3 linked regions of the Drosophila melanogaster genome follow. The protein of the gene in region 2 interacts with the protein of the main gene of each other region in a pairwise test. Each region holds a gene or a part of one and is shown on either strand. Other genes may lie near its edges.

What was found.
Region 1: the proteins of CG16781 (region 2) and CG4955 interact in a two-hybrid assay, tested with the Drosophila melanogaster proteins (one large-scale study listed by BioGRID).
Region 3: the proteins of CG16781 (region 2) and Chd3 interact in a two-hybrid assay, tested with the Drosophila melanogaster proteins (one large-scale study listed by BioGRID).

The regions. Positions count from the first base shown.
Region 1 is NC_004354.4:17,079,594-17,084,250, forward strand, and holds CG4955 (uncharacterized protein), read left to right. Parts: upstream 1-1,853; 5' UTR 1,854-1,990; coding exon 1,991-3,057; intron 3,058-3,129; coding exon 3,130-3,616; 3' UTR 3,617-3,763; downstream 3,764-4,657. Other genes in the region: CG8945 (uncharacterized protein), read right to left, coding at 830-993, 1,087-1,276, 1,366-1,727, 3,873-4,387, 4,489-4,657.
Region 2 is NC_004354.4:3,461,890-3,466,234, reverse strand, and holds CG16781 (uncharacterized protein), read left to right. Parts: upstream 1-2,190; 5' UTR 2,191-2,308; coding exon 2,309-2,354; intron 2,355-2,407; coding exon 2,408-3,522; 3' UTR 3,523-3,761; downstream 3,762-4,345. Other genes in the region: CG12206 (uncharacterized protein), read left to right, coding at 28-201; CG10801 (uncharacterized protein), read right to left, coding at 3,780-4,187, 4,288-4,345.
Region 3 is NT_037436.4:19,445,508-19,451,191, reverse strand, and holds Chd3 (Chd3), read right to left. Parts: upstream 4,020-5,684; 5' UTR 3,944-4,019; coding exon 1,265-3,943; 3' UTR 954-1,264; downstream 1-953. Other genes in the region: CG33062 (uncharacterized protein), read left to right, coding at 5,074-5,157. UniProt on the Drosophila melanogaster protein: ATP-dependent chromatin-remodeling factor which acts in nucleosome-remodeling by catalyzing ATP-dependent nucleosome mobilization. Likely to be involved in the regulation of transcription.

The sequences.
Region 1 (4,657 bases), about 14 Mb from region 2:
ACAGAAGTTTGGAGCCACTACAGTGCCTTGGTAACCAGTTCCTGAGTTTAATCATAGCTGGCAGTATTGTAGTTATTCGCCGTATGCTCTTGCTTTTCAAACAATACTTACTTAGAACGTTTACCTTATGCATTATTAAAACATGCATTTTGTCAGGTTAGACGAATATTTTCAAAGCTGGAACGAATTTTCCAATCTCGAACGAATTTCGAGTTATTAAGACTGCATTTCCATTTTATTGACTTAAAGCTATTCATATTGCCTTCCCAAAAGATATCCAAATGGGGAACGGTCGAATATTTAAGAAAATGAATTTATAAAAGGCAAGGCACGCTATATTATATCCGCATATAATACTAAGACAGTGCGTACATTTGGCAAGAACTTAAGAAATACTGTACGTTGAAAATATCTCCCTACATGGCATCCATGCAAAATGTTATACGAAAGCGAAGCAATCGAATGCTCGATCAAATATAAGACTTTATTATAGTATACTATTTAGTCTAAAAGGGATTAAAACTACCAAAAAAAAATTGCTGATAATTAATTATAATATACATACATATAACAATAATATTTATTATGCTAAACGGAAATCTCAACTTAAGGGAATTTATATGAAATAAAAAAAAAATTTCGAATGCATAAGATACGTAAATGCAGCTAAAAGTATTGGAGAATGTATTCCGGAAATACGGCTAGTGATCTCCGGAACGCAAGCCACCAAAGCCCGTTTAAAAGGAACTAAAACTCATTCACATGTAGCCCCACCCCAAATCCCTGCTGCCTTCGTCTTCGATTGGAATCCGATCTCCGCATCCCAGCCTCATATGTAGTCCAGCATGCCGCTTATGATCTCAAAGGCATCCCGAGCCGTGGGCTCAATGGCGCTGCTGGGCAGCAGATAACCGTGCACTCCGTTGTCCGCCAGCTGGAGCGTGTAGCTGAAGGGAATTCCGATCTCGTAGGCGGCAAAAGCGTCCGCACAGCCTGGATAAATCAAGGAAGCCAAAGGATTGGCAAGGTCGGATAAAGATCTCTATTATATTCTACTTCGAAGCAAATAATATAAATATTACGCACCCGATCGCTGTTCAATTAGATCGTTGGATGCGTCGACCTTATATCGGGACTTACTACCCTTTTTGCGCAATCCATCGGTACCCACCATCGCCACGTCCAGAAAATCATCCAATCTTTCTGAATTGAAAGTGGAATTGGCCTTGACCGGATAGGATATCACCTGACCATAGGCCTGTAGGGAAATGTAAAGCTGCAAAAATAATGAATAAAGTTAATAAATCAAAAAATATATCTATTTTAGAGAGTTAATATAAAAATTATATATTGTTCTAAGCATACCTTTATCTGCGTCCTATAGTCCATAAGGAACTCAGATACTGCCTTGGTTTCCGGTTCAGAAAATGGCGCTGGACCGGCGTAGAACTCATTGCAGGGTGCCTTGGAGCTACCCCGTTTGCCCCAATGATACAGCCAGTTTCTGTCCAGGTCCACCCCGTAGCAGACCTTATCCGGACCCCGTTTTTGCTGGAGCCATGTCATCGCCGAGTCGAGGAGGCCACTGGGAGGTGGAGTCTGGTGCTGAGATCGCGACTTCTTCCAGAAACGATCGTACTCGTGGCTGTACGCATATCCGTCCGGATTCAGGACCGGCATTATGTACCATGTGGTGTTCCGGATGAACTCCACGTCCTCGTTGCTTTCTGTTGAGTAAACGTTTTATGGGTTATTTTTATACATAACTTTACATAATGCATATGAAATAAATGTTAATAAATATTAATTCTCTTAAGAAAATAAATACGTTGTTCAACCGATCAACGTAGCCGCTTTTCCCCAACTCAAATTACATTAGTTATCCCTTTGTCAGTCCGTTAGTCAGTATATTTGTAGACCCAGAAATCGATAGTGTATACTTTAGACCTTTACAGCTTGCCACTTCTCCTCCAGTTGGACCAAGATCAGAATGGAGAGGCGAAGACCCCGAAAGTCCTCGCGTAAATACGTGTGCTCCAAATCAAACTCTTCAGTTGGAGGAGGAGTAGAGGAAGACAGTGGCTCATCATTGCCTGCCACCGCCAAAGCGTTACTCCTCCAGCCGGACGGTAATAAAGCACCAACCATGACATCCCTTCTGGGCGAACGACTCAGAAGAGTTTCTCGCATCGCAAGAGCTCCGCACAGCCTACAAGTTACCGAAAATCCAGAAGAAGGTGGAGCACCAATCGTACCACTAAGAGAATCCGGCGCATCGGAAGTGTCAGAAGTAAATCCGGGGGTTATGGTCATTCCGGAGTCGGCCAGTCCCCGGGGATCGGCGGTGCATGGACAACACGCTAGCTTGGTCTTCAGTGCTGAAGCCAGGGATTCGGACAGTACGCGGATATCGGAGGAAATGGTGGAAGTGTTCCAAACCTCTTCGGCGAGAACCACATCCAATGAGCCCGCAGGGGGCAATCTGCGCTTTGAAACCACTCCCGTGGCTGTAAGCGAAAGTATGGTTGGCAATATAAACTTCTCCCCGAACGCCATCTACGATCAGAACAGGTATAGCAGCATGATGTCCAACGGGGATTACAATAATGGCAACAGGGGTGAGAGTGAGAGGAGCGTGGGAGCCTGCCACCATGGTTGGGCGGCGCGACAACAACAAGTTGCCGCTGGACCTGCCGGCAGAGACACCCTGGGATTCGCCATCAGTCTGGGCGCCGCTAATTTGGGCCAGAACCGATGCAGTCTGGGCGTTGCATGCGATGAGGACTGTGGCTATGGAACTGGCTGTGATTTTGGATGCGGTCAGGCCCATGGCGTTGATCCCGGAAGCTTTCTAGGTCCGGGAACCATGGGAACTGGTCCATTAATATTGACAACGGGATCAGGAGGCCCACCTGTACAGAGCGCCCTACGAGGAGCTCAAGGTGGCGGCTATAAGCAAGTTGGCGCCGGGCAGCGGGGAACTTTTGGAACAGATTTCGGAAGTGAGCAGCTTAACTTCTTCATTACCTTCCTATTGGAGGTCCTCGGTGTTTTAGTGTGAGTATATATTTATATATTCCAGGATTGGATCATTCCAACTCTATGATAATCTACGTAATCTTCCATTAGTTTTTTTGCCATCTGCACGATAACATTTTGGATTACTCTGGGCTACCATGTTGTCCAGTTGCTGGTGGACCTGAAGAACGCCGATCGCAACATTCAGGTGGCGGTGGCCATTGTGTTCGGGCTGCTGCTCGTTGCGTTTGCCATATCGCAGGTGACCAACCTCAGTGGTTCCTGCTGTCATTCACGGGATCGAGCCCGTTCCAGAACCAAAGGTGGTGGCATTGGCTTCTTTCACAGATCCACCAAGCCAAAGACCAAGAGCTGTGCATCCAAAACCAAGACCTGTGCTCATAAGCCGAAGATTAAGAAGGCAGCCACTTGTGGACCCAGCCTGGGCTTTCACACGCACCGCAAAACGAGGTATACGGATTGCGAGGGACGGGCAATTTTCTTGAGCTCGAGACGATATGCTATTCCGACTGAGATGAAACAACCACCCACCATTGTGCTCTGGATGCGCGACACACTGGTTCGCATGTTGCAGTAACCACCAACGAAGCCCCACGTTGGGCGCCAATAATACTTAAACTGACTTAAGACTGCGAAACTATACGTATTGCCTGGAAACACGAACCATTCGATCATTTGCAAAAATTTCAATTTGAATAAACTTTAAGAGAAAACTTTTGTAGGTATTACTAAATTGTTACTTATGATCTGGGCCAGTATTATTAATATCGTGAAATAGATGTTTAAGAATACGAACATACTAGTTCGGTAATAGTATATGTGTATATACTCACTGTTTGTTTTCATTAGTCGCAGCAGTTCGGCAATCATCCAGGTGGCCGCCGCGGGTCCAATCCAGGCCAATCCCTGAGCACCAGCTTCGACGAAAACGGCATTTGCCTGGCCCGACTTCCGCTTCCGCTTGGGTCGCTTGATGGTGTGTAGACCATCGTTGTTCGCCGCCGCCGCCGTCTGTTTGGATTCGATCTTTACCACAATTAAGGGTCGACCTTCGAAGGAACGACCAATGTGGATGAGCTCAACGAGCTGCGGATGACGCATTCGCACCGTCTCCAGATACTTGACGATCTCATCGTGATTATGGTAACGATTCCATGTCATGGGCGGTGGTGCCGTGGGACGCGGCTTCGAGGGACGAGTGGTTTGTAGGTAATCCTCTTTGGTCAGTTCGTATGCGATGGCCTTGCCCACATCGAAAATGAGCACTTCGTGCGCTATGCCCTCGTAGTTTAGAGTGCCCTGAAAGTCCACGAGCATCTTGGGTGGCACAAGAACATCCGTAAGACCTCTGAAACGATGAGGTGAGTGAGAAGATTTGGTTTAAAATGTATTGTAATAATCCCCAAATTGATTGTCATCATACATTTTTGAGCTTTAAGTCTAGCTTACCTGAGACTTGGACCCTTGAGCCATTGCAACTTAACGCCGTCCTCGCCCTTTTTGAACTCCTCCAGTGCACGGACCTGCTCTTCATCCTGCGGCTTTAGACGCCAAATCTGATACTTGTCATAGCTTATGCGCCTGGGAACGTCCGGCCGCGATGTGGTGGTTGTGGTGC
Region 2 (4,345 bases):
TAATCAAATGTTTTACCGCTTTTACAGTCGATTGCCACGGCGTATACGTGCCAAACTTGCGGCGGATATCGCATGCTGCCGTGCCCCGCGTGCAACGGTTCCAAGAAGTCAATGCACCGGAATCACTTTACGGCGGAGTTTGTGGCACTAAAATGCATGAATTGCGATGAAGTCGGGCTGATTAAATGCCCGAATTGCTGAGGAAAACGCTACAAAGCTTTTTTCTAGCTATAGTGCTTTTTTTTTCTATCTATATCGAAGACATATTTTTTTTTTTTGTGCGCAACTTTTGTAGTCGCTTATTATTAACAGTTGTGATATTTGAGAGCAGTTAGAGCCGATAAGGAGCGGCCGAAACGGATGCGAAACGAAAAGGAACGGAACGGAACGAAACGGAACGGAAACGACACACACACACACACACACACACACACACACACACATAAAACATGTTCACGTATGTGAATCGAACAAATAAAAAACGAATTAGGCATTATGATTTGAATTTTTTTTTGATTTGAAGCATGTTTTTGGGCATTCATGTTAAAGTGCTACTACAGTGCCACCGAAACGTATGCAACACATTCTTAAGACTAATGCCACACACTAAGCCAAATTTACAATGCGCACTATGGGGCATTTGGCCTGTTTTTTTTACAAAAATTAATACCTCGTAAACTATTGGAGATATTTGGATGAATTTTTTTTTATGCGTTACACATGCCTCCAGGAATATTTTGGAAAAGTGGGCGTGCCCCAACGCCGCCCCAATTTTTTTTTTTTTTTTTTAATAATATATTTTTAAAGTTTATTTTAAATTTCAATATTGTATAATTCATAACCGTCTTCCTCTTCACAATCAGCAGAGTCTGAAGAATTTTTATAAGGTTCAAATTCGCAAGCTAACATTTGAATGACTTCTGGTGGAAGAGATAGTCGCTTATGTTTTCGCCTCTTTAAATTTAGTATCCATTGCTCTGTAAAAGACATATGCGAAGCTACTAATGGTTTCTGCCTTGGCTGGGTTTAACAAAAGAGTTTTAAGTATGGTTGCAAGATCCCACAGGCCGCGCTTCCGTGCAGCTTGAACCAAAAGATGTTCGTTGTGATTCGGCGCCCTTACGAGTTCATCTGCTTGCTGTCTTCGGCCACTCAAATTTTTTAAATAATATGACGTTTTCGGGAGTCCAGCTAATATTCTTTCCTTTTTATTTTTCTCCTTTACCTTCAGGACTAGGTGTTCTTCTAACCAATTTGAAAAAAATTTTAAAAATTCATTTATTTTTCGATTGCATTTTCTCCAATTTCGCAAAAGATTGACTGAAATCATTCGTTATTATTATTATTAGTTAATCGTTCATTTAAGTCTAGCTTGCTATCAGATAAATGCCCACTAATAAAAGTGCAAATAGAATTTTCCTTCCACTTCCAGCAGGGCAGCATTGGAAATCGAGATATTGCTCCCTAAAAAATGAAATTTCTCAAAAAACCGCAAAAAACGCACATAGAGACTACCTGATATGAGTTAGGAATTGAACACACTACAACATGGATATAAACACTTACTGAAAAAATTGTTGTAGCTCTATTCAAATTTGAAAATTTTTTCAAACAACTGCATGTTGACACCACTTGCTAAATGTACAAATTGTTAGAAATAGGCGCACACAATAAACAATATATTAATAACAACACATAATAAGAACCTAAAGATTGATTATCCATTTCAAATTATACTCTCCTTCTTCTTCTTTTTAAATTTTAACACTTTGAAAGTTAAGCTAAATTTTGCTCGCAACAGCCGACTTTAACAGCTGTTATTATAACAGAGCATTGTTAAATTAACTTATGCGGGCTATATCATAACACAGTTTAACGTATTTCCAATGTATTAATACTAAAATACTTCAAATTTGCATACTTGTGAAAAACACATTATTGTAAAAAAAAAACAGGCCAAATGCCCCATAGTGGCAATGCATGAACAATACGTGTGCTGTCACTGTATGCGTAGAAATGAGCCAAAAAGTACCAGAAATGGTACCAAAAAGTAAAATTTGCAATCTTTGGACACTTTACTATCAGAGAATATATATATTTATTTTTGTCAAATTTTCGTATATATTTCGAAACATTTTTCATCCCAATCGAATTGCCTTTGCCACTTAATTCACACACTCATTCGTCACAGTCAACTCAGCTTGTGTACAGCTTTTATTGTTGCTCCAAAATTCGTTGTCCTTGCTCGTTAACTGCATTCTTTGGACTATCTTTCAATTCCGTTTCGGTGGTATTGTTTTTAGCTTCAATGGATTCAAATCAGGAGATATACTTTCAGCCGCGTTGTATGTCAGGTACAAATAGATCAGTAGTAGAAAAATTCTTGTCTTTGATATTCATAATTTAGATCATATGGAGATGCGTGGCAGCGGCGGATCGAATCCCTTATCGCAACACTCCGAGCTGTCGAATGCTGATGGAGAGCGCATCTGTTGGATATGCTTCGCAACTAGCGAAGATAATCCACATGCCCATTGGGTGCAGCCGTGCCAGTGCCGCGGTGACACTAAATGGGTCCACCAGAGTTGTCTATATCGCTGGATCGACGAGAAGCAGCTGGGTGATCGCCGGCAAACGGTGATTTGCCAACAATGCCAAACTGAGTATATAATGGTCTTTCCCCAAATGAATCCCATTGCCAGGGTGCTAGAGAAGCTGGATTATGCAGTTAGGCGAATTTGCCCATTTTTGGTGCTCGGAATGTTCTTATGCTGTATATACTGGATTGCCCTTACATACGGAGCATTCACTATCATCCAGGTGGTGGGTCAAGATCGCGCAATGCAGTTGATGGAGAATAAAGTCATCCTGCTAGTGGGTTTACCCTTCATACCGGTGGGATTGATCCTATTCCGGCTGGTGCGATGGAAAGATGCCGTCTTGAAGGCCATGCGCAGCATATATATATACATTCCGCGCAAATTGCCCTTTTTCCACAGGACCAATCAGTCGGAAGGTGCATCGAGGGACTTGGGTGACTTGGGTGACTTGGATGACTTGAGCGTCAGTTCGAGCAGTTCGATCAGTTTGCCACCAATCCAACATAATCCGTCCATCACCGAACCCTTCTACATCTCTCGTCTCATTTGCGGAGCATTTTTTCTACCAACTTTTGCCACAACGGTGGGAAATGTGTTCTTCGGTAGGCTGGACGATGCACTGCAGCGCACCATACTCGGTGGTATTGCCTATATCGGAATTAAGGGATTGCTGAAAATGTATCTCGACCAGAAGTTATATCTCCGTCGCTTAGGTCGTTGCATTTTGAACTACACCGATGAAAACGTACGGATGATTGATCAGCATACCCAGGACAATAGCAATTACAATCCGAATCAAGGATCGAATGACGATGATCGCCAGTTTGCCGGATTTAATGAGAGCATAGATGATAGCTTTAGCGTGCACACCACGGACTCTGCGGTTGGTGACGCGTCCAGCATTCAGATCGTAGTCCAATGAGCTATTATGATAAACCTTTTGGCCAGGAAGTTAGATCCATAAGTTTTAACGACTTTGGCAACGAGCATGGCTAATCACTTTTTTTGGCAATAAAATAGTGTATACATTTAAAACTTTTAGAAAACTGCAACTTGGAGATATACAATACATAGATGACGCATCATCTATTAAACAGTATATTGTTATATCTTTTAATTTAAATACATTGAATTCAAATTTTTGCAAACTGTAAGCACTATAAAATTGAATTTTATTATTTAATTGCGATATTTCCAATTGTCAAGATCCAAATGCGTCCTATAGAATGGCGCCATGGGACAGGTTCGTTTGTATGATGGACAAAAGTTGGCGTCTATGCAGCAGCGGTAAGTGTTAGTGATCTTATTGGGCACAGCCTTCAGGCTCTCCATAAAGATATCCGAATTGGTGTGCAGACGGTGGAGGAATCTCTTAAAGCTTTCAAATGTCAACTCTCGATATCGTGCACATTTCTTATCATGATGATGCGGAACTCCCTCGCAGAACACCCAAGACCGTTCCGTGATCCTTTTGTGCTCGAAGTCCCTTAACATGCGACGAACCAGTCTCGACCTTCGATATTCCGGCTGTCCAATGGCAATGATCGCCTGACACAAAAGTGTACCCTCCCAAATCAAGGAGCAAATCTGTAAGACAATTAATAATCCAGATTTATAGAAGAAAATGCAACTTTCAAATATCAATCGAATTGTTTCGTCTTCCCAAAACCAATCAACCGCTCATTACCTCCGGTAATTGGCCAATTTCGCCGATGCGATCGTTTTCGGGCATATTACAAATGGAT
Region 3 (5,684 bases), on a different chromosome or scaffold from region 2:
CCCATTAAATTTCTAAGTTGCAATTTTAACTGCAATTATCGATAGGAGGAAAGTTTTAATACATTTTAATTTGGCAACTTGATCTGCTTGTAATTTAAAATCTTCTCTACATGATTAAAATAAACATTCAAGCCACACTCACACTTTCAATTAGGAAATATTTACTCGTATCTACCCTAAACTAACAAAGAACTGCAACAATTTCAGAGACAAGTCAAGTGCAAAAAATATGATTAAGAAAACGTAATTAAAGTGAAGTCATCTCGAAAACGACTTGGCCATTTTCCCATTGTATGTGATAATTAAATATGCCGGATTTAATCCATGAGCTGGTCACCGGACGCATCTAAGTAATCGCCAGGCCAGACACTTTGGGGATCCCCAGGACCTTTCACCTGCACTCTGGCACTCTGTTTTCTGTCTTTATTTCATTTTAATTACATTGCAGTTACATTTCACAATTCTCGGGGCCATTTGATGGCCGGTTTCAGGGCTCTGGCAGTCAAATCAGGCGTATGATAAATTGATTGCGAACGCATACTTATGTGCATACGAGGATGTCCTTGCTCATGCATGCATTTATGGGTACACCCAGGATAAGTGCAATCAAGATGCAACAGCAGCTCATGTGCAATTTAATTATCTTCATTTCAAAAATATTATTTTGCAGAAAGACCTAATGACAAAACGAATCCTTTTAGAAGACTGTATTTACGATTTTTCAGCATTTTTTTTCTCCCAGTGTATATTACTATATGTGTGTTGTGTTTGTCTGGCATTGAGACTTTTCTGCTTCATCCTGCGAAAGCTGGGCTTTAATAAAATTTTACGCATAAACTGCCTTTGATTGAATTACATTTAATTATTTTACCAGACATTTTGCGTGGAGTTCCTGGCCGAAATCGTTTTGACACTGCTCTTCGTTTTGTCATTTGTCTATTTTCTTTCCTTTTCCATCGAACTCATCTTTATTTGTTTCTCTGTTTTAAATTAAATAATTTGACAAACATAATTAAACACTTAAATTACTAAGAATGTTAATGATAGAATATTTACTGGGCGAAAAATTGTTACAGTCGAACAAAAAAGTAATAGTACTGCTATTACTTTTCTTATATTTTTAGTGAAGTCTTGGAGCAAAATAACTATATATTAAAGATAGCTGCGCTTAGGCAAGCTTGAAAAGTAAACTTATAAATTAACAATTTGGTTTCTGTTTCAAATTCATTTGTTGATTTGTACCCAATGGCGGTTATTCCTTATCTCACATTAATACTATACTGCTTGGGGTGGCTCGATTTGGAGAGGGATATTGATTGGAGTAGTCGATTTCCTTTCGGATTCGCTTGCCCTTTCCCATGATGCTCTCGACGTCCACCTGGGACTGCTGCGACTGCTTCTTTTGCTTCTTTGGTAGCTTCGGCTGACTTTTTCCCATCAGGTTTTCCCAGTAGAATGGGTCAGTGTTTTCAGCATCGTTATTGTAGTCATCATGCTCCTCGTGATCTTCCTTAGTGGCATAAGAAGCGACCTTAAAGGACGAAAGATACTCGTTGGCCCAAGACTCCTTCTCTTCAATGCCGCGATTGGTGCGGTCAAGCAGATCGGCCACCGCTTTGTCGTCGTAGTGAATAGCCTCACTCTTGCCGTCCTTAAAAAGATCCTCGGTGCCAAAGCGAAGGATGTCTTCGAGCTCGTCCTTTGAGAAATTTGTTGTCATGCCACCCATTCCCGGGCGCACCACAAGATGGGTGAGCATCATCTTGTGCTTGGCAACCTGCATAATGCGCTCCTCCACCGAGTTGTGGGTCACAAATCGGTAGATCATTACCTTCTTTTTCTGCCCCATGCGATGGGCTCGGGAAAAGGCCTGAACGTCGTTGTGCGGATTCCAGTCCGAGTCGAAAATAATGACGGTGTCGGCTGTTGCCAAATTGATACCCAGTCCGCCTGCACGAGTGCTCAGCAGGAAGACAAAGTGCTCCGATACGGGATCATTGAATCTGTCAATGGCCTTCTGACGTAAATCGCCTTTGATCGACCCGTCGATGCGATCGTACTGGTATCCCTCCCCTTCGAGGAAGTGTTCGAGAACATTCAGCATCTTGGTCATCTGGGAGAATAAAAGGACCCTGTGATTGTCCGCCTTTAGCTGTTTTAGCATCTTTGACAGTAAATCTAGCTTGCCGGAAGCTTTGGTCAGCGAACTCATCTCGTAAAGACCACTTGGCGAGATAGTGGCCTCCTCGGCGGCGGAGGGGAACAGGTACGGATGATTGCAGCACTTTCTCAGGTCCATCATGATGTTGAGCAGCGAACACACGCGACCGCCGCCTTTCTGATTTAAGGCCTTGAAGTTTTTGGTCAAAATATGCTTGTAGAATTTTTTTTGCATAGACGACAGCTCCACGCGCACAATGAACTCCGACTTTGGGGGCATGCTCTTCAATACATCCGCCTTAAGGCGACGGAGCATATGCGGTTCCAAGATCTCGTGCAGTCGCTTCACTTGCTCTTCCTTCGAAACGTCAGTGAACTCGGCCTGGAAGGTCTGCAGGTCGTTAAACTTTCCAGAGCTCAGGAAATTGAGCAGATGGAACAGCTCCTCGAGATTGTTCTGAAGCGGAGTGCCGGTCAGCAGCAGCTTGTAGCCGATGCGGTACTTGCTCAGGATCCTAAAAAACTTGCTCTGGTTGCTCCTTAGCCGATGGGCCTCGTCCACGACCAGCGCCGCCCAATCGATGCACCCGAGAAAGGCTGCGTCCACAGAGATAAACTCGTAGCTGGTCAGCATTACGTTAAACTTATACTGGGTTTGGTTTTCGCGCATGGTTTTGGTGGTTACCTCCTCGAAGCTTATCTCATGTTTCCGGATAACCGCTCTAGCAGTCTTGCCGCCCACATAGGTGACACAGTATAGTTCTGGAGCCCAGAGCTCCAGCTCTCGCTCCCAATTGGTCAGTGTGGAAAGCGGCACGGATATGAGGAAGGGTCCGCGGCAATGTCCCTCCTTAAATAGTGAGTAAAGAAAAACCACGGTCTGAATGGTCTTGCCCAGACCCATCTCGTCAGCCAGTATGGTGGGGATGCCTTGGCCCCAACTATAGCGAAGCCAACTGACGCCCTCTATCTGAAAGGGATGCAATTTAAGGCCAGCCTCCTTCAAGAATACTGGCTGATCCTCGTACTTCTTATTCAGGTCTATTGTGGGTGCAGGTCTATCTCTTTGACGTCCCTTATTACTGGACCGTAGTTTCTTGTAGAGAGCGATAGCCTGGTTTAGACCCGGGATACTGTCGCTTTCTCTTTCCCAGCTGCTATCGTTATAAGACAACTCACGCCATTTCACCAAGTACATAGTCCCTCCATTGGGCTCCTCACTATGATTGATAACCCGCTGGACAAGGAGCCACTCCGGCTTAATGCCGTATCTGTAGAATCGCTCGTGCAGATTGCCGTCCTGATCATCGAGCTCCTCGAGACTTGGCTCTTCCATGTCGCTCCTTCTCTGGAAGCTGGCAACCATTGAGGCATGGTGCAAGAGCATTTGACCTTCGGGAATCCATTCGCAGTGCCAGTAGGACATGCCATGCCACTTGATAAAGTACTCGCGCCGCTTTTCACCTTTAGATGTACGAAGCTCCACGCTTCGATCGAGGGCCCAGCGCCATGACAATATCTTCTCGGCTTTTCCGGGCAAGGGAATGCAGCGCGGGCAGATCCAATCGCCTTTGGGAATCGATTTCAAGGGAGGACTCAGACAGGTTCTGTGGTAAACGGAAGGGCAGGAATCGCAGCACAGCAGATCTCCTCCATCACTACAAACTTTGCAGTATTCTTCGTCGCGAAACTTCTGCTTCTTGGCATTGGTTTTCGGCCGCTTGTCCTTGGAAGCCTTGCCAGGTGTTTTCCAGTCTGGATCAGCCCCTCTCTTAGACGACATGCTATTTGAGTTTAGTTTTTGCAATCACTGATTCTGAAATGGAAATTGTCAAATGCGCGCCAGAAGAAAACGGTACTACCAATTATAATTCCAAGCAAAGAAGCATTCACACTGATCTTCCGAAATAAATTGGTCTGATGCGCCGTTTACACTTGCATCTGGTTAGGATGCGCTAACACTATTGCGAGGTAAAAAGGTGATTCTATATTTATTTATTTATTTATTTATTATTTATTTATTATTATTTATTTATTTTTTATTTATTTATTATTTATTTATTTATTTATTATTTATTTTCAGCCACTTGTGTCACCATAAAAAACCCTAGCATAATAGAACAATACGAACAAATAAATGTTTAAGTCAGGGGTCCGTCTATATATTCATTTTTTATTGGAAAATATCAACGTTTTTTCTAAACGATTCGGATGGTAAATATCGAACAAAAGTCGGCTTGCATTTATTTCGATATTATTCTAGGTATTGAACGTCGCTAATACCAAATACACTATAATAATTCCAGTGTCTTTGCTAATACCCTGTTCGCACGGGCGGGCTTGCTTTGATCGGCATTCGATAGGTAAACAATTATTAAGATCGTAAAAACTTGGGCTTGCTCTTCATGATATTATCATAAAGATAATAGAATTTACTCATGTAAAATTTACTTAATTTAGCGGGAAGTTCTCTGAAACTAAAAAATCAAGATTTTTTAAATAAATGCTAGTTTAGACTTCACATTTTGTAGAAGTGTTTAAACATTAGCGTTAATACACAGACAACAATCGAAAACCTTTCGAAATATCGATATACATATATTTAGGTAATTAATTTAATTCAAATTAAGGGAAACAGCGTAAGTTTATATGCACAATTTTTTTTTTGTTAAAAGTGCTATTAATTTTATGCTTTAACTGGATGTAAATGGACCGTTAAAGCCCAGCTCTGCTTGCTGATGCCTGCGTGTATCGAAAACCAAAAACCAGCCGCAGAGCAACGAACCCGCGACCGCCGAAACATTTCAAAGACAATCCACCAACAGCGGCAACACCGTCAACAGTCGGCCACACCACCATCCATTCACCGTCACCATCACCATCACCGTCGCCAACAGGACGAGGGCGAGGACAATGGATCAACTCAAACTCAGACCTTGTAACTGCCTGACCGCACATCCACTGGCAGAGTGGGTGTGGGTGGAATGTGAGCGGCTGGTAAGTGGGTGGCCAAAGAAGTGAGGGCCAGTTGATGGCCACATGTCACAGACATTATGGAATCATGAACTTATGCGCACCTGTGCGTGCTTGCGGGGGCGCGGGCGGTGGGCCCAGAGCTTCATTCTGGTTATATCCGTGTGGACTTGCGGTCGAGGACAGCGATTTGAGGTCCGCCTGGTGATGGTTTCGTGACTCGGCAAGGATTTCATCGGTTTAATGTGGAGCACTTAGAAGGAGAAACATGGCAACGTATCAGAAGTATTATTAACTTGAAATTATGTGATATATTATTAGTTCTATATTTTTCTATAACTTCCTTCAAGCCATAACATTCGAGCTTCTCACGCAACCATCGCCAATTAGGAGCCGGGCCATTTCAATCATCAATCAAAGTGTTTTGTTACGACTTTCATACGTCATGTACATGGCTCGGAGCCACCGCTTTTTGCTTTTGCAACCCATAGGGGGCTCCTCGCTGTAGCTCCTCCATATCCTGCCTCAGTCTGGGGAGCCAGTGATGCGGA